Regions from separate parts of the Mus musculus genome. Here all the other regions are reported to be linked to region 6. Evidence: microRNA targets listed by miRTarBase, many of them from high-throughput screens and not tested one by one. Region 6 holds a microRNA gene; each other region holds the end of a gene's coding sequence.
Evidence for each region. Region 6 holds the annotated microRNA mmu-miR-26a-5p (UUCAAGUAAUCCAGGAUAGGCU, at 1,090-1,111, shown strand). A microRNA usually pairs through its seed, bases 2 to 8, with sites in the 3' UTR of a target mRNA and lowers its output. Matches are read on the target gene's strand: a 7mer-m8 pairs with bases 2 to 8, a 7mer-A1 pairs with bases 2 to 7 and ends in A, and an 8mer does both.

Region 1: the mRNA of Fbxw11 is a reported target of mmu-miR-26a-5p. The part of its 3' UTR that is shown has no 7-base or 8-base seed match.
Region 2: the mRNA of Stradb is a reported target of mmu-miR-26a-5p. Seed matches in the 3' UTR shown: 7mer-m8 at 565-571, 8mer at 626-633 and 7mer-A1 at 1,090-1,096.
Region 3: miRTarBase lists Ablim1 as a target of mmu-miR-26a-5p. The part of its 3' UTR that is shown has no 7-base or 8-base seed match.
Region 4: miRTarBase lists Eps15 as a target of mmu-miR-26a-5p. Seed matches in the 3' UTR shown: 7mer-A1 at 2,530-2,536.
Region 5: the mRNA of Ccnj is a reported target of mmu-miR-26a-5p. Seed matches in the 3' UTR shown: 7mer-A1 at 2,134-2,140, 7mer-A1 at 2,513-2,519 and 7mer-A1 at 2,657-2,663.

The regions. Positions count from the first base shown.
Region 1 is chr11:32,741,952-32,746,039 of GRCm38, forward strand. Fbxw11 (F-box and WD-40 domain protein 11) reads left to right here. Exons shown (of 13, transcript NM_001271347.1): 12 at 508-693; 13 at 2,579-4,088. The coding sequence ends at 669. Among named protein-coding and RNA genes, the nearest start is that of Gm35723, 38 kb to the right of the region's middle.
Region 2 is chr1:58,993,900-58,997,982 of GRCm38, forward strand. Stradb (STE20-related kinase adaptor beta) reads left to right here. Exons shown (of 12, transcript NM_172656.6): 12 at 394-1,223. The coding sequence ends at 537. It overlaps C2cd6 (C2 calcium dependent domain containing 6), which reads right to left. Exons shown (of 19, transcript NM_026600.1): 19 at 3,217-3,702. The coding sequence ends at 3,364. Among named protein-coding and RNA genes, the nearest start is that of Stradb, 22 kb to the left of the region's middle.
Region 3 is chr19:57,033,891-57,037,978 of GRCm38, forward strand. It overlaps Ablim1 (actin-binding LIM protein 1), which reads right to left. Exons shown (of 26, transcript NM_178688.4): 26 at 1-3,447. The coding sequence ends at 3,334. Among named protein-coding and RNA genes, the nearest start is that of Afap1l2, 27 kb to the left of the region's middle.
Region 4 is chr4:109,384,644-109,388,731 of GRCm38, forward strand. It overlaps Eps15 (epidermal growth factor receptor pathway substrate 15), which reads left to right. Exons shown (of 25, transcript NM_007943.3): 25 at 676-3,174. The coding sequence ends at 822. Among named protein-coding and RNA genes, the nearest start is that of Ttc39aos1, 20 kb to the right of the region's middle.
Region 5 is chr19:40,845,328-40,849,415 of GRCm38, forward strand. It overlaps Ccnj (cyclin J), which reads left to right. Exons shown (of 6, transcript NM_172839.4): 6 at 372-3,245. The coding sequence ends at 771. Among named protein-coding and RNA genes, the nearest start is that of Ccnj, 16 kb to the left of the region's middle.
Region 6 is chr10:126,994,454-126,998,541 of GRCm38, forward strand. Mir26a-2 (microRNA 26a-2) reads left to right here and starts at 1,077; the gene lies at 1,077-1,160. It overlaps Ctdsp2 (CTD (carboxy-terminal domain, RNA polymerase II, polypeptide A) small phosphatase 2), which reads left to right. Exons shown (of 8, transcript NM_001113470.1): 6 at 1,402-1,494; 7 at 1,573-1,758; 8 at 1,908-4,088. The coding sequence ends at 2,033. Mir546 (microRNA 546) reads left to right here and starts at 3,987; the gene lies at 3,987-4,088.

The sequences.
Region 1 (4,088 bases), not on the chromosome of region 6:
TATTACTCTGACAGCCTCTGTTTTTCTTCACATTACTAGGCTATAATGTAGGACATAATGTTTAATTTAAAAAAGAAAAACCTAGGGGCTGGAGAGATGGCTCAACAGTTAAAAGCACTGACTGCTCTTCCAGAGGTCCTGAGTTCAATTCCCAGCACCCACATGGTGGCTCACAACCATCTGTAATGGGATCTGTTGCCCTCTTCTGGTGTGTCTGCAGATAGCTACAGTGTATTCATATACATAAAATAAATAAATAAATCTTTTTTTTTTTTAAAGGAAAAAGAAAAAGAAAAACCTAGAGGCGTATATTCTAGAAAGCAGAACATTTGTTCTCAGGGAAAGGATGCGGCTCAGTGTGTGTGTGTGGGTGGGGGAGGGGGGAGGGGGGACCACGCAGGAGGCATTGAAAAGTGCTGACTTTCCCGCCTGAGCTAAATCCCAGCTCTGGTGATAGGGGCTGTAAAGCCATCCTTCCTACATGTTAACCAAGCCGCTTTTCCATAGGAACACTCTGGACGTGTGTTTCGGCTGCAGTTTGATGAGTTTCAGATCATCAGCAGCTCCCATGATGACACTATTTTGATTTGGGATTTCTTAAATGTGCCTCCCAGTGCCCAGAATGAGACCCGCTCTCCCTCCAGAACCTACACCTATATCTCCAGATAGCAGCCTGCACTTTGGCCCAATCTGGTGAGTGTGCTCAAACTCCAGCCCTGCCTGGGCTCTTCAAGACCTCGCTCACTTCTGGACTTTGCCTTCCCTCTGGGAATTAGGAAACTGAGGTTCCTTAGTGATGTGAATGAAAGCATCTACCAGACTAGCAGGTAAGGTCTCAATAGGCTCCCAACAGAGCCCTGCACATCGTGGGCTCTCTCGTCGTCATTGACAGGTAGTGATGTCTGTGGTTGCTGTTTTTAAAAAACTGGTTACCTAAATGAGTTCCTTCATGATCATAGCCATTTAACACCAGGATAGTTTTTCAGGTTTGATTTTTGGATTGCAGAAATCAACCTTTTTACCTGGTCTTTCAGTTCTGTGGCTGACAGACAGACAGGCAGATGGGTGTAGTCATGCCCATGCATGCGCGCACACAGGACCATCCAAAATTCCTCTTCCCATCACCAAGTCCACTCTGCTTTACCATCTCCACAAGGAGCTATCACTTAATTATGCTGTGCATTCTTCATGGTGAGGCGTGACAGGTGCTTCAGAATGCAAATCCTCCGCTCTAGTTACAGAGCCGCTGTCATACTGTTGGTGACAGATTGTTTTGCTCACCAAGATGCTGTTTTAGATAGAAAGAGAGAAGCCCGATTTGCCCAATCCCAGATATCCATGACTACTGGGAACAATATTCCTACCTGGAAGATTTGCCGGGATCCATTAGATTCTGCGCACATCCCGCTTTGTCCACTTCATAAATACCCTTACTTCTGTGACTGTTTAAAGATTTGTGATTAAATTCTCTTAGTTAAAAAGCATTGCTTAGCCGGGTGTGGTGCGCATGCCTTTAATCCCAGCACTCAGGAGGCAGAGGCAGGTGGATTTCTGAGTTCGAGGCCAGCCTAGTCTACAAGGAGAGTTCCAGGACAGCCAGGGCTACACAGAGAAACCCTGTCTCAAAAAAAAAAAGCATTGCTTAATTCTTTATAGCTTTTTATTATGTACTTTCTAGCTTACTAAAGAGTAAGCTAGGTGGTGCTGGCACACCCCTTTAATCTGTTTCAGATATTTTTTAGTCTAGATTCTGAGTCCCATAAATGACTCTCAAGAAGTTTACCTTGCTCGGGCTTAACACACTGTAGCCAAGCATTGAATTTGACCCACTGTATGCTTTGTTTTTCTGCCAGTGCAGGCCAAAAGTAGATCTTACACTTTAAACACTTGAAAAATATTTTAAAAATTCATGCCATATAAAAACTCTGTGATATTAAAATTCCAACCTCCATAAAATCCGTGTGATTGGAGCTTACCTTGCTCATTTGTCACATGTCACTGTGGCATAGTTGAGGAGCTGGGACTCACACATGTCAGCCACTTCCTGTGCAGTGCTTTAAGGGTCTGGTGCGCATCAGGAACGGTCGCTCTGTGCTGCTGCGAACATCTGGGTTTCATTAGTAGTGACAGGTGAGGGCTCCCTTTAGAGTGGCTGTGGACCCCAAAGGACTGCAGGGCAGGGTGGGCTGGTGACATCTGCTGTGGGGGGTTAGAGGGGGAGGCCATCAGAAGGTTTACTGCTCCTGGCCTTCCATTGTCCACACCATCTCTGCCTACACAGTCATCTCCCCACTACTTTCTCTTGGAAGAACTTTTGTAAGTCCATTGACAAACCCACCTGGTAGTAGTCATTGAGTGATGTCTTCAGAGCACATGACTCTAGAGGTTTACAGAGGCAGAAGACACAGAGCTCCTCACCAGGCATAGTCAGAAAAGTGTAATGACACGGGGAAGGGATGGAGGAGGAGGTCTGACACCCCACTCTACCCCCGTCTTCCCCTTTCCTTCTTGAACCTGCCCTCTGTGACCCTTCCATGTCTTGTCTAGTTAAATAATGTCATTCTCCTTTCTTCTTCAGGGTTTCCTGGTCTTGAACTACTGGCTATATGGCTATCACATGCCTAAGGGAGTTCGTTCACAGCTGAGTTTGGGGCTGGACTGGTTCCAGATGCTGGGTAGATACAGAGCAGCCCCACCCCTCAAGCCCTGACATTCTCACTGCACCCCAGCTCTACTTGGAGAAGGACTCCTTAGCTCTCCACTGCAAGTAGAGCAGCAGCTCATGTCCCTCCCTTCAGTGAAGACCCCAGCGCTTCCCATGCACACGTTCCCACGAAGGACACAGCAAGGACTGTCAGGAGAAGCCCTGCTTCTAACTTATGTCGTCGCTTTGCGCCTTGGTTTGGTACTAAAAGCAGCCTTGCATTCTCGGTGAAGTGCTGGGTGCCAAACGACTACACAGCGTCTTCAGGGCTTTCCTCTCCAGCAGCAGCTTCTCCTTAGACCGTCAGTCACAGTCACCGTCGCTCTGACGTGCATAGGAATGTGTCGGACAATGGGCAGATCTGGATTATCTTAGTATTTTTGGATTACACTTTCTTTCTGTTTGTTTCTTTTAATTTAAAGAATAAGTGGGCTATATTACCTCTGCACAGGTGATATAGCTATTTTCTTTTATTAACTGTTCTCTGTTCTTCCTCATCTTCTGATATTTGGTAGAGTAACACCTTTATCCGAGTGCTTGCCTCCTAATTTAAAATACTGTATCCGCATGTAGATAGAGTGTACATAACAGTCCAAGCTCAAGGGTGCTGGCCGGCCCCCTGCACCTGAGACACTACTGTGGAGATTGTCACACCTACTCCAGGGTTGCTGTGCTGGCCTAGAGCCTCCTTCAGTATTCACTTGGGTTTTAGTTGTCACTGTCTTTGTGTGTGCTGTGTGTTTTCAGACAGAACTTGAGAAGTCTCCCATGTTTATTTGTTGTGTGGCATCTGCAGTGGGCAGGTATCTTCACAGTCTCCACATTGCTGTTCTTTTCCTCACGCTTACCCCTAGAGCTAGTGCTCACCTCCTTGGGGTGATCATTAGCTTCTCTGTCCAACATCCTACCACACGGCAGTGACCCTGAGATGGAGATGGCGGCCAGTGGACAGGGCTCCTGGCTCTGGGCTCCCTGTACTCGGATGGGTGTTGGGGGCTATAGAGTTAGAGCCTGTGGAGCAGGTCAGCTGGCCAGAGCCCACATTAGGGACAAGGCACTCCTCTGTGTGTGGGGCACAGCCTCAGGCCCTGTCAGCTCTGCTGTCACTCATCACTGTGAGAGTGGCACCCAGGCAGGACATTGGTGACATTATTTCCCTCTTTCAAAATTAGGTTTTGATTTCCCCTTGCCATTGTTTCCAAAGATGAAGGAATGTTAGTACGGTTTTAAAGGACCAACCAGCCCCTCCCAGTGAATGAAGCCTCTTCCCATGGAAGCACACTCTAGGAGAGAGAAGGCCTCTGGGCTCCACCTGGCCTGGCATTATGAATGCAGTGGGGTCAGTGTGTGGTGGATGTGTGTACTGGGTTGGCTTTCCTTTTTA
Region 2 (4,083 bases), not on the chromosome of region 6:
AGATTTTCAAGTACCGGTGTAAAACACCCTTGGCACCTTTGCCTGGTGAGCCATCTAGTGGCCTTAATTATATATAGAATATTTAAAAGATTTTTATTCTTCAAAAACAAAGCAGTAAAAATAACATATGTTACACACACTATATTTTCATTAACTTAAAACTGGTGTCTGTCTTACCTAGAAATAATGGCAGGGCAGAATAATTCTGCTTAAAATTAGTTTATTTAGCTTTTAAGTCTTTGGTTTTCTCGATTGTCAGAACTAGAAGCATTTAAAAGGAAAAGACCTAAAAATAATTTTAAAGTTTTAAAATTTCTTTAAAAGTTATTTATTGCTTATAAAATTTGTGTTGAGTCTCTGTGCCCATGTCACTATTTTAAGTTTCTTTAACAGATGAAAGAAGAAAGCCAGGATTCCATACTTCCCCTGTTGCCACCTGCTTATAACAGGCCATCAGCGTCACTGCAGCCAGTGTCGCCGTGGAGCGAGCTGGAATTCCAGTTTCCTGATGACAAAGACCCAGTGTGGGAATTCTAGGGTTGCCAAATCATTTCATGTCCTCTATACTTGACAGCCTCTCCTTGCTGCTTGTCTTCGGTCCTGTTAGGTACAAATGACAAATCTATACTTGAAAATACAGTTGGTGCACTGGAGAATCGATCAGTTAAACCACTCTGTTCATGGGGCGTGGATTTACCCTCTCTGCCCAGATCAGAGCACCCGCACGACTTCCTCGTCAGTTACTGCCCAGCTCAGCTAGTGTCCGCTCGCCCGCCCTTCCGCACATCCCCCGCTTCTTTTCCACCTTTTAAGCTGTGACTGGTACTTTCTGGATCTCAGTGTAACTTTTGAGCTAGTTAATTCTCTTCTACATTTTACTGTTCTCTGGGGAATGAACCCTTCCTCGGAGGACACTGCTTCCAGAGCATCTTCTCTTCCAGATTCACTAGCCTTTTTGATCAGCTATTGGTAGATGAACAGGCTGGTTTATTCTGGTATAAAGCCCTTTTTTGGAGAAGGGAAAATGTTTGTACTATTCCTTTTACATATGGCAACATCAAACTGAGCCTTGCTCACATTAAATAATTCACTTGAACTATAAAGAGAAGATGCAATTTGCATTTTAAAGGGGAAGGGGCTAACAACACTTTTCTACCTGTGTAAATTATAGATCATTAATTCATGCACCCTGTGGGAGCTCAATAAAAATGTATAAAATTAAACATCTCTTTTATATATTTTGTGTGGCTTAACAAAACTAGAACACAGATTCTAATTTGGTTTGCTGAGAGAATCTCTTTTTTACACATAATTTACATAACATGGTATAAACTTCAGGCAATCTCCTAGAGACAAATGGCATGTTGGCCTTTTATATGCTTGTTTCTGTAGTGGGGTAAACCTTGAAGCCCATGCTGTTGTTAATGGCCCTGCGTCCCTAGCAGGAGATATTGTGTTTTAGTTACATTTTTGTTGCTATGATAAAATCCCACAATCAAAAGAGTTGCAGAGGGCTAGTTGTCCTTACTGACAGAGAAGGCAAAGCAGCAGGAGCAGAGAGCTAAGAGGTCCTATCTCAGCTACATCACAGGAAGCAGAGAGGGGGAACTGGAACTGGGGCAAGCCTACAAGCTCTCAGAGCACCCTCTGCAGCGTACTTCCTCCTGTAGGGCAAAGAGCATCGCCGAAGAGCTGATCACCAACACCAACTAGGTGTTCAGATACATGAGACCATATCGCACATTTTTCATCCAAACTAGCATAGTGTCTTAAAAGTGGTTTGTAATTGAATTTGTAATAAACTGGGGTCTATGTCAGTTGGTTTTCTTCATCTATATGACTATATAGATTGGAAGTTACTGTAAAATGATTGTCTTCAGTCTAAATAGGCAGTTAGAAGCAATTCTGTTCATGTTTGTTGGCTATACCTCTGCCTCAAGTATGAACGTTAGAGTTTCTCTATCGACACAGCCGCCAAGACCTGCGGAGGTGGGAAGTGGAGGTGAGAGAAATTAGAGTGGGCCATAGAGGAAGGAGACAACAGGTCCACTGGAGCACTGAGCAGCTGCCATAGAGGGAGTTGTACTTCATCCCACTCAATGCCTTAGCATCTCCCAATCTGAGAAAGTCCTGCACATGCCAGATGCCAAAGGTAGGAGGGGTGTCATGGACGTTGCCTGTCAGAGCTCCTACTGTTGATATGTTACAACTTGGCTCATGAAATTATGGAGACTGACAAGCCTCAAGGTCTGCCAGATGAGCTAATAAACAGGTGCTGGTGGTACCGTTCTAGCCCAAACGCTATCAGGCTTTATCAAGGCCAAGGTAGTGTTGAGGTTGAGTACAGTGGCTATAAAAAGCTAAATCCATGTTCAAAGTCAGGCAGGAGGGTATTATTTGGGGAATGTTATTAGGGATAATAATAGCAATTGATCAGGGAAAACTTCAGAGATATCAATGGAGAAATGTTTTAGAGATACTGCTTGCAAGTGACAATGTTGTCATAAAATCTTAGTGGGGTACAGGAATTTGAGATGTCCTTCTGGGAAATATGTCTTTGCTAAATAAAGCCTGACCAGTGGTTTTCTTCCTTACGATTGACCAGTGGCCTGCTACCTCCCAGTGCTTTTCTTCACTCTCCTCTGCTTCACTACAACTGTATTTCTTGTGCCTACCTTGTTCCTCTGGCACAGCTAGGATCACTTTTGTTGTTTTGAGTGGTGCTAGGGAGATGGGCCTCACAGTGACCTTGCCTCTGCTCTTCATAGCGGCAGCTGGCTCTTCCTTTTCTGAAGTCTTTTGGAACACTGGGAGCACTTCTTGTATTTACTAGCTTTGGGCCTTTCTTGCTGTTCCTTTTGGCTTCTTAGCCTGGACCCACCATTCAATAAAAGTAGTCCCTGCATTCTTTCTACCTGGAAGAGCAGTACATGATATTAAAATGAACAAAAGTTCTACCAGCTCAGAGAACTATAGACTGTTGAATCTAGAAATGTAACTAGAGCTAAGTTAAGTTCCATTGCTAAGCACAGACAGATGCAAATGGAGAACTGGCAAACTAGGCGGGTAGCAATAACCAAGTGCCACAAATGCTAAGGAACTTAAAGACTACTTCACCCCAAAAGAGGAGCACTGGGGTGCAAAACTAATGCTAATGAACACCAACTGAATATACATTTTTTAGTTTGTTCTGCAAGGCTTATAAACAAAAACACGTTTCTGTAGAATGTTTATTTTTCACTTTAATTATAACAAAATGGTCTAACAAGATGAAATTTAGTTGCTGACTTCTATCACACAAGGATAGATCTCCAAACCATTTTGTTAATGGAGAAATTATATTCTGACTGGTGGCATTACATATCATTCTGCATTGTCTAGCATCTGGATAATCTCACTAATGAGCGGACGCTTTTCAATATCCTCTTTTAATTTCCTTTTGGACCGCACTTTACGGATTCCATACGCTGGGGTGACATATAAGTGAAGTAAGCCCGCTGAAACCATCCGAGGACTTGCAAATTTCCAGGCGGCACTTTCTCGTCGTTTGTTAGGCTCTGGAGCAGTGTATGGTCGTGCACAGTGTTTTGCCTGATTATGGGAATCTTCTGGACTCTTGCCTAAAAGTCTTGCTCCTGATTTTGATTTTTTAGGACATTTAACTGTGGGTGCGTGTAAATCGTCGAATCTATCCAAACAATCCTAAATATTGAAACAAAATATCAAATTGGTAAATTAGGCTTCTTAAAAACACATTGTTTTGTTATAAGAACTCTTTGTAATAGCAACAGTTAAGAAATGAATGCCCTGATGTCTTATAGGCAGTCCCAGTGCATGCTCTGTACCCAGCGCTTGCCACTAAATACTCCCTTACAAGTCATGTTTAAAAAACAAACAAATAAACCAAACAAAAAACCCCTCACCTTTTTAGAGGACTTGATGCTTCAAAAGGGTGAAATATAGGAAACTTAAACTCGGACAGGCTTAAGGAGCTGTCCTCTGGGGTCAGACCAGGCAAAGCTAGTCAGCCCCGTCTATAGTTCTTCTAGTCCAAAATAGCCTTCCCATGACCTCAAATATAAG
Region 3 (4,088 bases), not on the chromosome of region 6:
AAAGACTCAAAGGAAGTTAATTTGAATTCTTTTAAACTTGAGAAAGCAGATATATCTGACAGCATCATTGGTGAAGCAATCTTTAAAAAAAAGACGTTTGCTTCAAAGTAAAGTAGTCTGTTTCAGAAATGTCTCCAGCTGAACCTTTCCATGCTGGAGGTGACAGACAGTGGATAGAGAATGAAATGACGGGTGAGGCTGTGTCTCGGGAGAGAAGAGGAGAGGAGGCTCGGGCTGGAGGCAACAGAATCAGGACTTGGAGATAACAGAGAACAGGACAGATAGAAAACTCCCCCCTTACCCCTTTATTTTGCACCTTATTACCCATTAACTCCAGTTTTTCTCCTTGAGGTTTAGAGAACAGGCAGTTCGTATTTAGTTGTTGAAGGAGTCATAGTAAAAATATTTCATAACAAACTCTACACTAGTATGAAAATGCAGAGCTAGCTGTTTTCAAAGGCTTTTCATCTCTCTAATAGGTCGCACAGGAAGACGATGTGAGAGCCTGGACTCTCTTGGAGAAGTTTTGAAGAAAACACTGAGACTCCCAGGTGGCCACAGAAGCCTCTTTCAGGCTATGCAATCTGTATCAAGTCGCAAGTAGGTCAAATGCTAGAAAAATATAGCCCTTAATATACGCACCAAGTCCCCCCTGCGTAGGATCCTCCCCCCAAGTGAATGAGTGCTTTGATTTTTTTTTAGCAATTGAAATTTTCCTGTGTCCAGCAGGGTGGAGTCGAGTGAAGAACACCGCTCTCCCATGCTGTGGTCAATCATGTGGAGCCTTTAATGTCACGGACATTGTGTCTGGCAGTTAGGACCAGACCATCTTCAGCACATCCTCCTGGCTGGAACCTTCTGCCAGGGAACGGAGCGATACTCCAGACTTTCCAGCTCTCCTTCCGCCTCCCCCAGAGCAGCAGGATTCTTACTGGTGTTGTCTAGCCATACATTTTTTGCTTGATACAATTTGGACTACTATGCTAATACGGAATGTTATTTTTTTTGTTTGTTTCTTTGTTTGTTTTTTTTCCCAGTTTAGATGGAGAACTGAGTTCAAATAGTCAAGGAGGCAGGGTTTCGTTATTGCAAGAATTTAAAAGTTCATTCTTCAAATATTATAATCCTAGGCAGGTCCTTTAGCTTACGGCTCTCTGTAACTTAAAGAGGAAGACTGTCTCCTCCTCCTCCCCTGCAGCTGAACTTTCCTATGTCAGGATAAAGCCACTATAAATTTATAAAGAGCAGGTACGGAACCTTAGCAACCACCCCTGTTTCCTGAATACTTCAATTTTCCTAATCTGCATCATTGTGAGAAATAGCATTAACCAGTAAGAAGCATGGAGGGTCATGCTATCACCACACTGGATAAATAAAGTCTCCCACCAGGTCACCATGTCTGCTGACTGTGAACACTGAATACACCAGACTCCCCATCCTGTATGCTGCCAGGGTAACGTGAGAACCACGTTATACAGGCCTGGTGCTGAGGGAGCCAGTGATGAGTAGGGTAGCTAGAGAAAAACAATGAGAACATGGGAAGAAGCCGGAGACATGCAGGGAACCCATTTTTGCAATCTGTCTCCCCAAGAGGCGTGAGATCCATATACCTAGGCCAGCAGTCCAGTCCTCTTGCAGAGTGTACTAACAGATACACTTGCGAGACTAGTTCTCAGACTTAACTCTCTTACAGAAATGTAGCAGAGTAACCCAAAGAAGTGTGTCACGAGCTACAGGCTCTCATCACGGGCTGGGAATCTGTTGCTCTGTGTTACTGCAGGTGTGGCAGACAGCTGGTCGCTTTAGTCCTTCAGAAGGAATTTCTGCATTTTGTGCTGAGTGGTCATTGGGGGTGAATCCAAGTGCTTTACCACTTGGTTTTAACTCATATCCACGGCAGGAGAATCAGTGTGATCTAGCTTCTTTCCTGAGACTCTGGGGACCCTACCCCAACTCACACCAGTCCTCATGATGTGGCCTTTTCCACACATTTTAGGGAAAGAATTGCATTCCAATTCACACTGAGAGTCACAGAGTATGGAAGGGCTCTGGTGAGACGCGCTGAGCCCTAAACTAGCCTGGCCTTCCTTCCAGGGTTCTCAGTTTGAATCCAGCATGAGTCTCTACAGCTCAAAGAACAGGCTGGTCTCTAAGCACCCTCCCTGAACCTCACTTCTCCATCTCTGGGTCACGTGCTCTTGTGCAAATGACCTTCAAAGCCACAGCCCAGTATGGGCAACACTCAAGCAGAGATTACAAAGCACATCGAGACTCACAGATCTGCTCTGGGTGAGTTACACACAGACGTGAACACACGCGGGCTTGTCCATCAGGCCGAGTGAAAGCAGTCTACTTCAGAAAAACAAGTCTCCCCTTAGTCTCTACCCTTAGTCAAAACCAGCACGGGCTTGACCTGACCCATCAGATGCCAGGCAGACAGACAGACAGACAGACAGACACTGAGGAGGAGATCTTGTGATGTGGTAGGGCATAGAATTTTCTTCTCTAAGAGATACATGATTCATGGGCAAAAAAAATCACCTATCAGCAGCTGGGCCAATCTGGAAACTCTTTTTGTCTTTCCTTTCTTTGGAAAGGTGGACACACAGTTCCTATCAATTTATAGGGGAAAGGGCTGAACACAGTCTCAGAAGCAGGAAAAGCTTTCAGGGAGGGAGGTTCCTTCATTCCTTTTTCCTTTTCCATTGTCTTAATTGTTTTTCCCCTCTAGCAGCTGGCCAGCCAGGTCTCAGCACACACAGGAGCTTGTCCAAATCATTTAGCCACGCACTTAGAACTACCTGTTCCCTGACGGACTTCCATCTCCCTCGGAGCCCAGGCAGAGCTGAGGGAGACGGCCAAGGACAGGCAAAGTAGCTGCTACCCGATCAGTGCAGGCCCCTGGATTCCTTCTCTGCCACAGTACTACATAATAAATAGATTCATATGTCAGGACTCCCAGCATCCCCTCCGTGTGGCTTCCTAAGGGCACTTGCTGACTCTTACCAACACAGGCAGCACTAAGTCAGACATGGGTTAAAGGGGAAAGTGAAAAGGAGAAAGAAGCCCCACAGAGTCACGTGAAAAGGTCCCATGTGGACGTTACTGCTGAATTTGGGAACATAGAAATTCTACCCCGTCGTTGCTTGGCAAGGGTTACTGTTGCTTGGCCCAGGATGTGGCTCGTGGGTGCTGAGATCAGACTTGCCCTTGGCGTTGCTGCCTGGAGACGGTGGTGAACAAATTCTCTGATCAGTTCTGGGCCTTAGCATAATGTTCTACGCACCACCGCCACTGAGAGTTCGTTTCCTGATTGTCGTTTACTCGAGGGACTTAGAAGAGTTTAGCTTTTTTCTTCATGTCGTTGCGTCTCCAAAGAGGTAACTTGTCAAATTCCTGTATGGACATCCCAAAGATCTCCCAAAATACTTCTGGGGCTAAGTGGCGCTGGGAAGAGAGAAGCAAGAGGTTGTTAGTCCTAACGGCCACGCCAATGAACATCAGATGCCTTTTCCAATTTACGAATGTAGCCAGCCTTCCATAGTCCTGGCTTCTGCATCGCCAATCCAATCCATTTAGATAAAAAGTATCCTTCCCAAACTGCCTCTGACTTACACATGTACAGACTGTTTCCCTGGTCATTTTGCCCCAAACAACACGGTTCTGCAAGTATGGACGGCTCCTTTCGGTTCCACTAGGCATCATATGTCATCTAAAGATGGTTTAAAGCATAAGGGAGGGTGTGCAGAGACAATGTATAAAGAACGTATCACTTTCTGCACCTGCAGACTTTGTCGGCTGTTGGGGGGGGCGGTGTCCTGAAATCCATTCCCTGCAGAAACTCAGAGACACTAACATCATCCTGAAGAGCCAGTCAGACTGGGGAGAGAGGCGGCTCTCTCTGGGGCTTGTTTCCTGGGCACAGCCAGGTAGTGTCCTCCACCAGAGGAAACACCTGGCAGACTACTGCCAATGTGGTTCACTGCAGAGCTGGGCTAGTGATCGGGCACAGGAAGGTGACTTGCGGTGCTGGATGTGACAGCATCACTTCAGGTCCTTGAGATGTTGAAAAATGGACCCAAGTGACG
Region 4 (4,088 bases), not on the chromosome of region 6:
TGTTTTTGCTTTATACTTTTGGGGTTTCCTGAGAGGCCAGGTAAAGCGGCTATCACCAGTGGCATTAATTTTAATGATATGTCAATCAGGCATGCTGCCATATGGTTGTAATCCCACAACCTAGGACACAGGCAGCAGGATCATGAGTTTGAGGCCAACATAAGCCACCTAGTGATAGTCCATCTCAAATAAAATAAAATAAAATAAAATAAAATAAAATAAAATAAAATAAATCCAGAAGGGAGGATTTTATGGTGAAGTGAAAGATTAGACCACTCCTGTTTTTAAATATCCTATTCTATCCTAAGCATTTAACCTGTTTAGAGAAAATATCACTGTGTCCCAGATTGGCTTCCTTCTTCCTCAGTCCCCTATGTTCTGGGACTGCAAGCATATGCCACCATGCCTGGAATTGCTACTTTTTAAGGTGATGATTTTAATGGCGTACTTTATAGGCCTTATTATATTTTTATAGACTTATTTTCCCATAGATTGTGTTAAAATTTTAAAGTAAACCAGAGCTCAGTAAGTAGTTAAAATACATTTTCAGAAAAACAAGGAATTAGTACTATTCCTTTAGGTAAAACAAGTAGTTAGCACTCTTTTATAAAAGGTCTTTTGTATGTCTTAGCTTATTTTTTAATTCCTTCATTCTTTGGATCTTTTAAATGGCAGTATCCCTCTGAAGAAGATATGATTGAATGGGCAAAAAGGGAAAGTGAGCGGGAAGAAGAACAGAGGCTTGCCAGACTAAATCAGCAGGAGCAAGAAGACTTGGAACTGGCCATTGCACTTAGCAAATCTGAGATCTCAGAAGCATGAAGAGTTATCTGTCCTTTGTCAGCAGTACAGTGCTCTCTGGAACACTGAAGCTATTTACCATGTGCATCAAACTACCTATGAGCATGGGATACAAAAGGTTTGAGATTCCTAGAAATGTGACAAAAGTCTAGTTTGTTTTTTTTTTTTTTTTTGGGGGGGGGTGCTATTTCAAATGTGTCTTTTATTTTTTCTTCCAAAAGCAGTACCCTAATTAAACGGCTTTGCCTAGACCCCTGTTCTGGTGTGCATTTATAGTGAGCTCTTGCCTGCTTGCACTAGCCCCTGTAAAGCTAGAGCATCAAGCCTCTGCCTTCTGGAACCTAGCAGATGTAGTTTTGCGCTGTGCTACCCTTGTCCTGTAGTTACTATGACAACGACTGGAGTTCTGAAAGTGTGCAAGTATTCTCCCTGAGCTGAGTGCTTGAAGGAGGGGGAGGGAAAGAGTATCCTGTTTCTTCTGATCGGTACAAATTAGTCAGTTTAAAGTGCATTATATGTACTTCTGGAGAAAATATAGTTAAGTTACTTAGAGACAGGGGAAAATATTCTGCATAGATCTACTCCACTATTGAAAACTGGATAAGTTAAACCATTATTGCTCCAGCCGCAAGTAATTCCTAAATAAAAGTATTAAAGCCTTGTATATGAAACATGTTTTTAGAACAATTTTCTCTGGACTTAAAGAATTTTACGATTAACAGATACCTCACGACATGTTTCCTAGTTAAAAACAAACAAACCAATTTCTTACAAATAAAATTTGTAAGGATATGTTCATTTTAAGTGCTAGTGAGGAAAATTTGTAACTTAAAATATAACCTATCCGTTTAAGCAAACACTTAGCCTGTACCCATTTTGCCTTTGTGGCTGCACTGACCGTAGTTCATAAGTGACCTGAAGTCTAGGAAGCTAGAATTGGAAGGTACTTTGGTATTCATTATGTGTTTTGTTTCTTTAGTGAAGGCCCAGCTATTTGCAGTGATACAAATGGAAGAAATAACATTTGTTATATCCTCTTACTTTCTGTCCATCTTTGTAGTTTAAATTTCTTTATTTGCTTTATTTGTCTCACCAATAAAATTGACAAGCTACCCCACCCCCAAAAAAATCCTAGTTTTTAAATTGAGAGAAAAATAAACCAAGTTGCCAAATTATCAGAGCCCTACTTTTGTTAAAAGCCCATCTTCTGCTGAACTGGCCTGACAGACAGCTGGATTTTAAATGGATTTGAAGTAAACTATAATTTGTAATTTTTTAGATAAGAGTTACTAATTTAGTGTTTGTAATACCAAGATAAACAAAAATGCACCTACAAACTATTTAAAATTCTTTAGGATAGCCAAGTTAAGGTGGTATTGAACTGTTGTTAGAGTAATTTACTGCCTGGCCTATAAGTAAATTCTAGTGTCTAATCAGACCATTTTGAAATGGTGCTTTTTTTTCTTTTCCACATACTATTGGATAGCTGGGATTTAAAACAAACTTCAACCACTTTCTTGCACTGCTAACTTTTTTCTACTTTTGTAAATAAATATTTCAGCATAAAAGTTAAAACATGAAGTAAGGGCTGAATCGTAATCACAAGGCTTTAATTGTGATAACTAATTCCGTGGCCTAAGTGCTTGCTGCAAAGGGTGATGAGCAGGTCAGGTTGGGTGGTGTTCCTGTTTGCCCCTTCCTCTCACTCCTCAGGAGAAAGGTAAGTTGACTTGAATAACCTTCGTTTGCACTGAGAAAAGTGAAAAATGTTTGAAATGCTTTAATTTTTTTTAATAAAAAACACTCTGGAAATATTAAATATCTATAACTTATAAACAGCAACTTTTGATGTGTAGTAAGTGTGCCCTAATCTTCTGTGCGCTTAGCTGGGTCATAGAGGTTCTTATCCTTTGTTAAGATGTGTGTGCTCAGTGGGCCAATATCATACTAAAGTATGTAATATGACATAAACATATCTATATCTCCATGCTTGAGTGTATAGAATGAATGTCTTAAGAGCCATTTGTGATGTTTTATGGTGTTGACCCTGGCTCCAAAGCCTGCGCTTGAAACAAAGACAGAGTTTTAACCATCTTCCTTTTATGTACTTGTTCAGCTTTATCTGTGCTCTCTTCATAGATGTTCTCTCATGTTTCAAACTTATAAATTACTGTTGTAATTATGAAGATAATAAACTTTAATAAGTAAAAATGTGTACTATATCATTTTGCATTGAAACTTTGTGCTGTTCTTGATCGTGTGCATATGGTAGGAGGAGGGCAAGTTGCCATCAGCATACATTATCCTGTATAAAGGGTTCTTACAGTACTATAGAGACTTAAATAAATGTTGAATGCTAATTCTATAAACAAACTTTGTTATCTTGTCCTGTTTTTTGAAAGGAAGTTAGGATATGTATCTTCATAAAGATAGAGCCTGAAACACGTGGCTGTGTAAGGACGCGTGCCTTGGGTTCTTAGGATGTTCCTGACCTCAAATCCCTTTTCTGCTGTTTTTGAGAAATTCCTTTAAGTCATACATGGTTGTGCACACCTTTAATCCAGGAGGCAAAACCAAACAGGTCCGAAGTTCTGACCAGCCTAGTCTATGTGGCAAGTTTGAAGTCAGTCTGAGCTACATAGGGAGACCCTTTTTAAAAACAAGCAAGAACAACAACAAAAGAAAGTTCTTTAGCCTCTGATTCCCTGAACTTCATTTTCCTCATTAATGAGTTTGATAGTTTGGTCAATCTCTTGTTAGATGGAGGTCTTGCTATCTCGGGCTAACCTCCAGTTCAATTCTTCTGCCTCGTGAGCAGTTGGAATTACAGCCATGTAATACCCTGCCCAGCTTGATACCTTTTTTTTTTTTTTTCGAGACAGGGTTTCTCTGTGTATCTCTGGCTGTCCTGGAACTCACTCTGTAGACCAGGCTGGCCTCGAACTCAGAAATCCGCCTGCTTCTGCCTCCAGAGTGCTGGGATTAAAGGCGTGCGCCACCATACCCGGCAACACCTTTTTAATACTAGCTATTTTAAGGAAATAGGTTCACTGCCCCCACCCCCCAGGGCCTCCTTTACCTCTGAGCTCTTCCCAGCCTCACATTAGACTGTGTGGTGCATGTGACGCCCTATGCCAAGCATTTTGTGTCTGCTTGTGTTTCTTGTCTAGTTTTCACCGTAGGACTCGGTAAGGACAGGTTTTCTCCTGTTTTGAAGATCTGTATGAGAAAGTTAAAGTGTGTGCTTCAGCTTACACACCTGAACTCTTGATTCCAGCATGGTAATG
Region 5 (4,088 bases), not on the chromosome of region 6:
GAACAATCGTGCTCCGTAGCCAAGGAGCATTCTTTGCCTGTGATCCTGTTACTGGTACGACCCTCAGTACTTGGCGGGACAAGGAGCGGTCCAGGCTGATCTTACTCCATTCCCTTCTCCATACCACTGAATTTAAGGGTTGCCAGGATGTGACCTCAAATTCCTAGTTGTAAAGAGTCCTCAAAGCCACCAGCACTGTTCATACCAAGATGAACACTTGAGAAAGGTACAAGGAAGGTGTCACTTGTTGAAATGACAGTGACCTAGGTGGCAGCAGTGGTGGTTCTTGGAGTGAGCAGTGGCAGAGGCGGGAAGCGGGCTTCGCTGCATCCTGCCCGAATGGTGTTACTCTTCCCTTTCTTTTGTCTCAGTGCTCACGATAACGACGTGAAAGAAGCAAACAAGCAGAGGGGACAGTCAGCTCCCCAGTCGACACAGCTGACTGTGTTCCAGACAGCGCAGCCCTCCCGGCCGGTTCACTTCCAGCAGCCTCAGTATCTCCATCAGAGCTCCCTGCAGTACCGGCATCCTGTGTCAGAACAGCCCAGCCGTCAGCAGATTGTGTCTACCACACACACCTCGTCTTACACGCTACAGACTTGTCCCGCGGGCTTCCAAACGAGCGTTCAGGGCCTTGGCCACATGCAGACTGGTGTTGGGATGTCCCTGGCAATACCAGTAGAAGTTAAACCCTGCCTCAGTGTTTCTTATAACCGGAGTTACCAGATAAACGAACATTTCCCGTGTATTACCCCATGCTTTGAGAGGTGATGACGTATGTATGCAGGCCACAGACTGTTCTGAGGTGGTTAGCTCTGGAGCAAGCCTTTTGTCTTCCTCTTCAGAAGGAAAGAATACAATCAGTACATCAATGCAACGGGCCGAGGCACCGGAAGACTGAGTACCAGTACCCCTTTCAGTACCATGAGTGCTTAGGAGGGCTCTGCAGGTACTGACGTGTCAAATCCTGTGTGACAGAAATGTCCCAGTTCCTGACTGATGGTCCAAATATTTCAAGATGCTCAATACAGCAGAAAATTTGCCATTCTAAGATTTGACCTGTTATGGGCTTTGGCCTTATGCTGACATATATGTCAAAGACTTAGTGTTTATCTGTGGACTTGCCAAACCATCTTTTATGAAGGAAGTTGCAGTATTAATTTTTGAAGAATTGTTTTAATCTTGCAGCTCAGAGGTTTTTTTTGGTTTCTTTCTTTTTTTTTTTTTTTTTTTTGACCTACTGGTAGGTTTCTAAATTCAAACTCACCAGTTGCTACGTATACTAATCTGTGCAGTTAAAAAAATCCAGATGATTTTTATATAACTTCATATCATAAATACAGGTGCTGGATTTATATACTGCAATTAGGGGCGAAGCAGATCCATACCTTGAAATCATGGTCATAATTTTGGTTTTGCTCTGCTGCCTTTTCCCACTAAGTGATCAGCCCCAGTTCTTCAGGGTTAAGCACGTTTAACTCAGGGACCTTGTAGCACTTGGAAACACTTGGCTCTAACCGACATGCCTTGGGAGTATTAGAATATGAGCTACCCGTGCAACATCGGCTGCAGTGCTCCTGCTGGGATGAGAATCGATCACGGCACAGGACGAATGCAGTGGGTCCTGTGTTCGTGCACGGACAGGCTGGGCATCACCCAGTGATTGGCTGTTGCTCCTGAAGGCAGTTTTCAGGAGAAGGCATTCTATGAAGTGTCAGTGCTAGAGTCGAGTCAGGTAGGATTGTTCTTGGGTTCAGGATGGCTCGGGTAGTGCTCAGCGTGGGCTGACGCAGCACTTTGTTATGGGAGGGTGGTTCAGTGAGTGCCCTTGGGATCCAGCAAGTCAGGCAAGCAGGAGTGCTGATCTTAGTAGCCACTTTCTGTGGTTGGCTGTGTACCTGCCGGGAGACAAGTCTTTGTATTGATAGTGAGTGAAAGCAGCAGTAATAGTCATACCCGGGGCAACCTGGCCATAAAATACTGTCAGGAAGTATGGAGGACAGACTTCAGAAGTAAAAAGATGGCTGATGAACTGTAAGCATAGTAGTCTTATCCATGCAGGAGGAAGGAGCTGGTGGGGGGGACACTTTCTGGTTTAAAATGAGTAAGGCGTGTTTGATTTTATAAGATAGCACTTGAATAGAAGGGAAACTGTGGCAGCTATGAGACACAGTGTCTATTGGCGAGAGCTCGCTGTAAAGATGTGGGTATGCAGCAGGAGTCGGTGGCCTTTGCTGGGAAGGGACGGAAGGGCTCCACAGCCTGATGGACTGACAGGCAGCTCCGGAGGAGAAGTGCCCGTGGGCAGCTTCTGCCAACAGGAGTTCTTCCGGAAATGTGCTTTCCTTAAAAGGAAGCTAACTTTTATATTTAGCGTACAGAAGGCCTGGTGATGAAAACCACTCAGGTAAGAACACTTGTGGCAGTTTTCAAGCATGAAAACTGTTGTAGGAACGTATCACTTTTCCTCTTTAAAAAGGCTGCTAATTGGATTTTTATAATTCTTAAGAAAACTTGAATTAGGAGGAGGAAGTGGGTTCAAAAGATAATGTCTCTTTCCCGTTCACAGATAGAGGCCTGCAGCATGGAGTCCAGTGTTGAGTATTGTAACTACCTCAGTAATGCTATGAATGTAAGAGATTGGGAGAGAATCCTAACTTGAAACAACAGCCAGTGCCTGTGGTGATTTAATGTCTTGTCAGTGCTTTTATTGATTGGTTATGTGTCATTCTTGTTGTCAAAGAATACTTGCCTTTTTAAAGAAGCTTATTAACACTTTCCAGTTTATATTTAAAAAGCTAAAGAACACTGGATTAATCCTTCTTGGGGGTAGAGTCAAATAATTGATGACTATTGCTGCATACCCGGATGGGGAGGCTGGAGAATCATGATTATTTTTAAAAACAGGAGAATTCAGTATATAATGCAACTCAACAACAGTTAGCTGGGGAGGGGGGCGGGGGGTTGTTTTGTTTAATTTATTAATTAGTCTTAAGAGGTTTTTTTTTTTCTGTTTTGTTTTGAGATTACTGGACCATCATTAAATGTGTACTGTGAAGAGATTAATGATGTGTGTAAAGGACTTAACCAGAGTCCACTAATAAACACTATTCAAGTACAAAAACGCAAACCAAATATCTGTGCTATGACTAACTACAAACAGTGAGTATGGTGCTAAGTCTACACAGCAGGGTTAGATGAGTGCTGTGCACTTGATTTTAAAATAAAAGTAGTTTTCACTAAAATGGTCTTGCTGCTTTTGTTTTAAATATGGACCTGTTGGCCGTGACCTCCTCAAGCCATGTTGTCATGTGTGTCAAGCTTGCAGTCACAAATGTATTTAATAAGAGGCGTCCAGATATAGAGCATTGTGCAGGGACAGGAAACATTTGTCCCTTTGTGTATTGCATCCTGAGCATCGAAGCCCATTAGAGTTTAGCAGACAACTCTGTTGCCTTAAAATGAGTTGTGTGTTAGTAAGTGTAAATTCTTTTTTTTTTTAATTGAACATAGTTTTTTTTTTTTAATATATAACATTCTGGTAACTTCTCCCTTATTTCCTAGATCCTCCCTCTCTGTGGAACTCTGAGCCTCTTTATCTCAATCTTTAGAAAGCAAACAGGAAAAATAAAAACAAAAGCAGAGCACAGGATAGAGCAAGACAGAAAAGTAAAAGCACACACAAATACACACACACACACACGCATGCACTCGCGAGCAGGGAGCGGGCACACAGGAGCAGGCACCCAGAAAACCCATTAAAGCACAAAATCACTAACTAAAATATAGAAGTAAAAGACCAGCAAGGAGAGAAATGGCCAAAACATCAGGAAACAGACAAAGCAAAACCCAAAAAAACAAAACCCCCCAAAGTACCATTGCGTTTATTTTGAGTTGCCCATCTCCTGCTGCGCGTGGGGCCTGCCCTTGAGTGGTTTGTGTACTCAGGGAGACTCCATTGGAGAAAATAACTTTTCCTTTGTGTGCTGTTGTCAAGCAACAAGTGAGCTTGTTTTATTCACCTAAGTATAGATATCATTTGTTCCTTAGTTTAGCTGAAGCCTCAACAGGTTTTGACTCGGCATTAG
Region 6 (4,088 bases):
CCCCTGGAACCAGAGTTACAGTTGTGAGCTGCCAGGGGTTGCTGGGAATTGAACCCAGCTCCTCAATGAAGAGCATATGCTGTCCAGCCCATGCAGTCCATGCTTAGACCAGGCGAGCCTTGCTCTGTGTGCAGGGCTGTTAGGATTTGCTCCTGTGCCCTCTGGTGAAGAGCTACTGAATGTGTCTTCCCTGGCCCAGGCCCCTCCTATGACACCTTTCTGACCTCTACACTGGTTTCTGTAAGTGCTCCATATGCATCTGTCAGAGTGGCAGAGTCCAGGCTCTGCCGTGTACACCCTGCTGCCTAGGGTTAAGGACCACGAGGCATTGGTGAGAGACCATGTGCCCAGAGGCATGCTGGTCGGCCCAGGGGAGGGCCGGAGACAGTGATGCAGACATCCTAGCAAGCATGAGACCTGTTTTCAGACTGAGAAAGTTCAGCTTGAGACTGTCCTGGGTTTGTCATCGTAGCCCTCTGCCCCTTTACGAACTTCTGTACAGAGCCTCGAAGCTGTGGCTCTTTACTCCACCCATCACCCCCTGCTGTCTAGTTGAGGAAATAGAAATGTACAGAATGTATGGGGCTCTGGCATGGGCAGAAGGGGCCTGAGTGAGAGGGCTGCCTGCCATGTGGATCTGAGGAGAGCCTGGGAGGAGAGCAATGCTTGGTGAGGAAGGGGCTTGTTTGTGAGGCTTAAGAAGTGGAAGGTGATGGATAGATCCATTTGCAGCTGCATGGAGGGTTCTGCTGCTAAATGGGAGGGCTCTGCTCAGTTGGTGCTGATGTGGGCTAGGAGGGACTGGGGTGGGCACACCCCCTGTGCTGCTTTAAGGAAGTGAGTGAGTGGGCCTAAGGAACACTTGTGCAGGCTGAAGTAAGAAAGAAAGAAGAAGCAGCAGATCATAGACTGGGTGGCGAGTTAGTTGAAGAACCTTTAAAAGCGAGCAAGTCCTCGAAGCTGGTGGTGTGCACACAAACCTACGAGGGTGTGTGTTTGAAGAAGTTTGTGGTTCTTGCCAGATGGGACCTACACAAGCCGTCCTGCTGGAATCCCGTACAGAAGGCTACTGTGGAGGCTGCGGCTGGATTCAAGTAATCCAGGATAGGCTGTGTCCGTCCATGAGGCCTGTTCTTGATTACTTGTTTCTGGAGGCAGCGCATGGTCTGCCCTCAATGAAGATGGCTCCTGGGAGTGCATTCCTTCCTGCCGGGTTAGGGTTGGGCCTGTTGAGGCAGCAGAAGCCTGGTAACATGGTAGAGCTGTCCATGGTGGGGCAGAGGTCTCAGTGTCTCGACCTGGGTATCTAGGCCTGCTTGCTTTTCTGTCAGTGCACAGGCAGAGCCGGTGCTGTGTCCTTGGCCTTGTGGGGTTCCTACAGCAATCCACTCTGTCTCCCAGGTATATGTGCTCAAGAGGCCTTACGTCGATGAGTTCCTGAGACGGATGGGGGAGCTCTTCGAATGTGTTCTCTTCACTGCCAGCTTGGCCAAGGTACCTGACTGCAGGAGGGGCAGAAGGCAGGGGAGAGCCAGCCCTCAGCCTAGGCTAAAGCTTCTCCTTCTTTTCCAGTATGCTGACCCTGTGACTGATCTCCTGGACCGGTGCGGGGTGTTCCGGGCCCGCCTGTTCCGAGAGGCTTGTGTGTTCCACCAGGGCTGCTATGTCAAGGACCTCAGCCGCCTGGGAAGGGACCTGAGGAAAACTGTCATCCTGGACAACTCCCCTGCATCTTACATCTTCCACCCAGAAAATGCAGTGAGTGCTCGCATCAGGGACTGGGGTGGCTGCAGGCTGGGCCCGTGGGCTTTATCAGAGGAGTCCACAACCCCTGTGTGGCCCAGCAGCCTCCAATGGCACTGGAAAGGAAAGGAAATATCAGATAATGTCACTTTTTCCTGCCCCAGGTGCCTGTGCAGTCCTGGTTTGATGACATGGCAGATACAGAGTTGCTGAACCTGATTCCAGTCTTCGAGGAGCTAAGTGGAACTGATGATGTCTACACCAGCCTTGGGCAGCTGCGGGCCCCTTAGCCTTCCTGCTCCAAGAAACGGCCATCCCAACAGGGGACTCTGCTACACTGTGCCTTTGTGGTCAGCCTCACTGACGGGGTCTGCAAGTAGCCAGGGCGTGTGGGACAAAAGCAGGTCACACGCAGAGCAGGAAATCAGACCAAGACCCAGAGCTCTCTGCACCCCGTGCTCAGTTCCCAGGTGGTTGTGTGGGTGTGTGTGCGTGCATGTGCCCGTCCGGTAAACTATGGTCCTGGGTGCCCAGTTGTGCAGTAGGGGGAGAAGCTGAAAGATAAGGACTCAACCCAAGTCATTTGTCTTCTTTCCTGCTATGCTGTGAGCTACTGAGCTTTACAGCCATGAAAACTATTGTAGGCTCCCTCGCCAAACCATGGCTTTCCCTCAGCATCAAGACCTGTGCCAAGGAGAAGGGAGAGGCCGGAGGCTGCTTTGGATGCCCAGACACACATCTTTCAGAAAACACAGAAACCTAGCCAGCAGCTGCAGACATGTTTGGGAATATGAGAGCATGTTCGCAGACCCACCAGGTTCTGTGTCCTATGGGCTACACCTGGCTCCAGCAAGAATGCCTGCCATGGGCACTTCTCTGTACCCGGGCTCCAGTGCCAGGCCAGCCTCTCACTCCCAAGCCATAGTCCTACTCCCATGGGAAAGGAGGTCTTCTCTCTGCCCTGGAGGAGGACATATAGCTGATTTCTGTTCTTTTAACTCTTAAAAATCTCTTTCTAAACTTGGAGTGGTTTATATTCGCCCGAGCTCCAGTCCTGGGCCTGAGGTTTGTGTGGGAAGCGCTGGGGTACAAAGAAAATGCAAATGTTCAATGCAAGATGTCTGTCTCCTTGCGTGTAGATCCCAAAAGTGCTCTTCAGGGGTTCTGTGCTAGCTGATGCAAGGACATTAGCTCCAAAGGCTGGGGAGGGCTTGGCTCTCCCTCTGTGTCTTCCTGGTGTCCCGCCCTGGCCAGCTCTCGTCTGCTCTCGCCTTTATCCTTCTCGGCTGCTGCTCTTCCTCTCCAGAGCCTTGGGAGAAGGACTTTCCCCGGTTGTACTTAATTGATTGGTTGTCCCAAGTGTTGCTCTTACTTGATTTGCCAAATGCCTCCTGCTTCTCGTTATAGGACTGAGTGAGGTCCTCATAGCTCTGTGCTCTGGGCAGCTCTGAGCTCTCAGCCCTGTTGCTTTCAATGTCAGTCACAGAGTGGAAGTTTCCCCAAAGTGGAAAGCTACCATTGGGAACACAAGGGGCCCCTGAGGGGCCTCCACCTCACTGCCTTAAGTGAGTCCCGCCCACTCCCTGCCTCCCTCCGAGGTGGGCGGGAGTTCCTACCCCATCTCTGCTTCCCCTGGAGGCCGGCCAGCGTTTGTGGGTTGGTTCAGGTGTGGTACCTCCCACTCAGGAGTCAATATTTTCAAATTTTTCTAGTTTCCACACACGAGGTCCTGCCTGGGGTTTGAGAAAGCCTGGTGGAGGAGTGTGGTGGTGTGAGTGGAGACTGGCTGGCATTCCTCCAGCACTCTGCAGACTTCTTCCTGGGCCCGAGGCTATGGAGCCTTGGCTTTCACTTCTGTGACAAACACATGCCATTTCCCCAGCCTCATTTGCTGGTGTCTGTAGGGTCCTCCCAAGGTGAGCTGAGGGCTGCAGGTGCTAGCCAGGAACATGGGAGCTTGACTGTGGCTTCAGGTCCAGACCCTGATCTCACTGGCATCCCAATACTGCAGGAGGGGTCTTCTCACAAAGCTCTGAGGGCTGGTCTTGACTAAGCAATAAGAGCCTCAGAGTTGATTGAATTTTAAGGTCCCTTTCTGGCTTCTTGGTTCTCCATGTGACCAAAGCCCAGTGTGGCTTCATGGGAGCCCTGTTACTTCTCCATGAAACCCCAGCTCTCTAGGCCTGACTGCCACCAGAGTCCTCTTACCACCTGCAGTCTGCCACAAAGATGCCATATCAACTCCTCTCTTCCCAAAACTAAACAGGATCTATCATGGTGGCACGGAGTCAGCTAGATGTTGTCTCTTGCTATCCCTGTGCTAGTTCCATGTTTTAGAAGCAAAG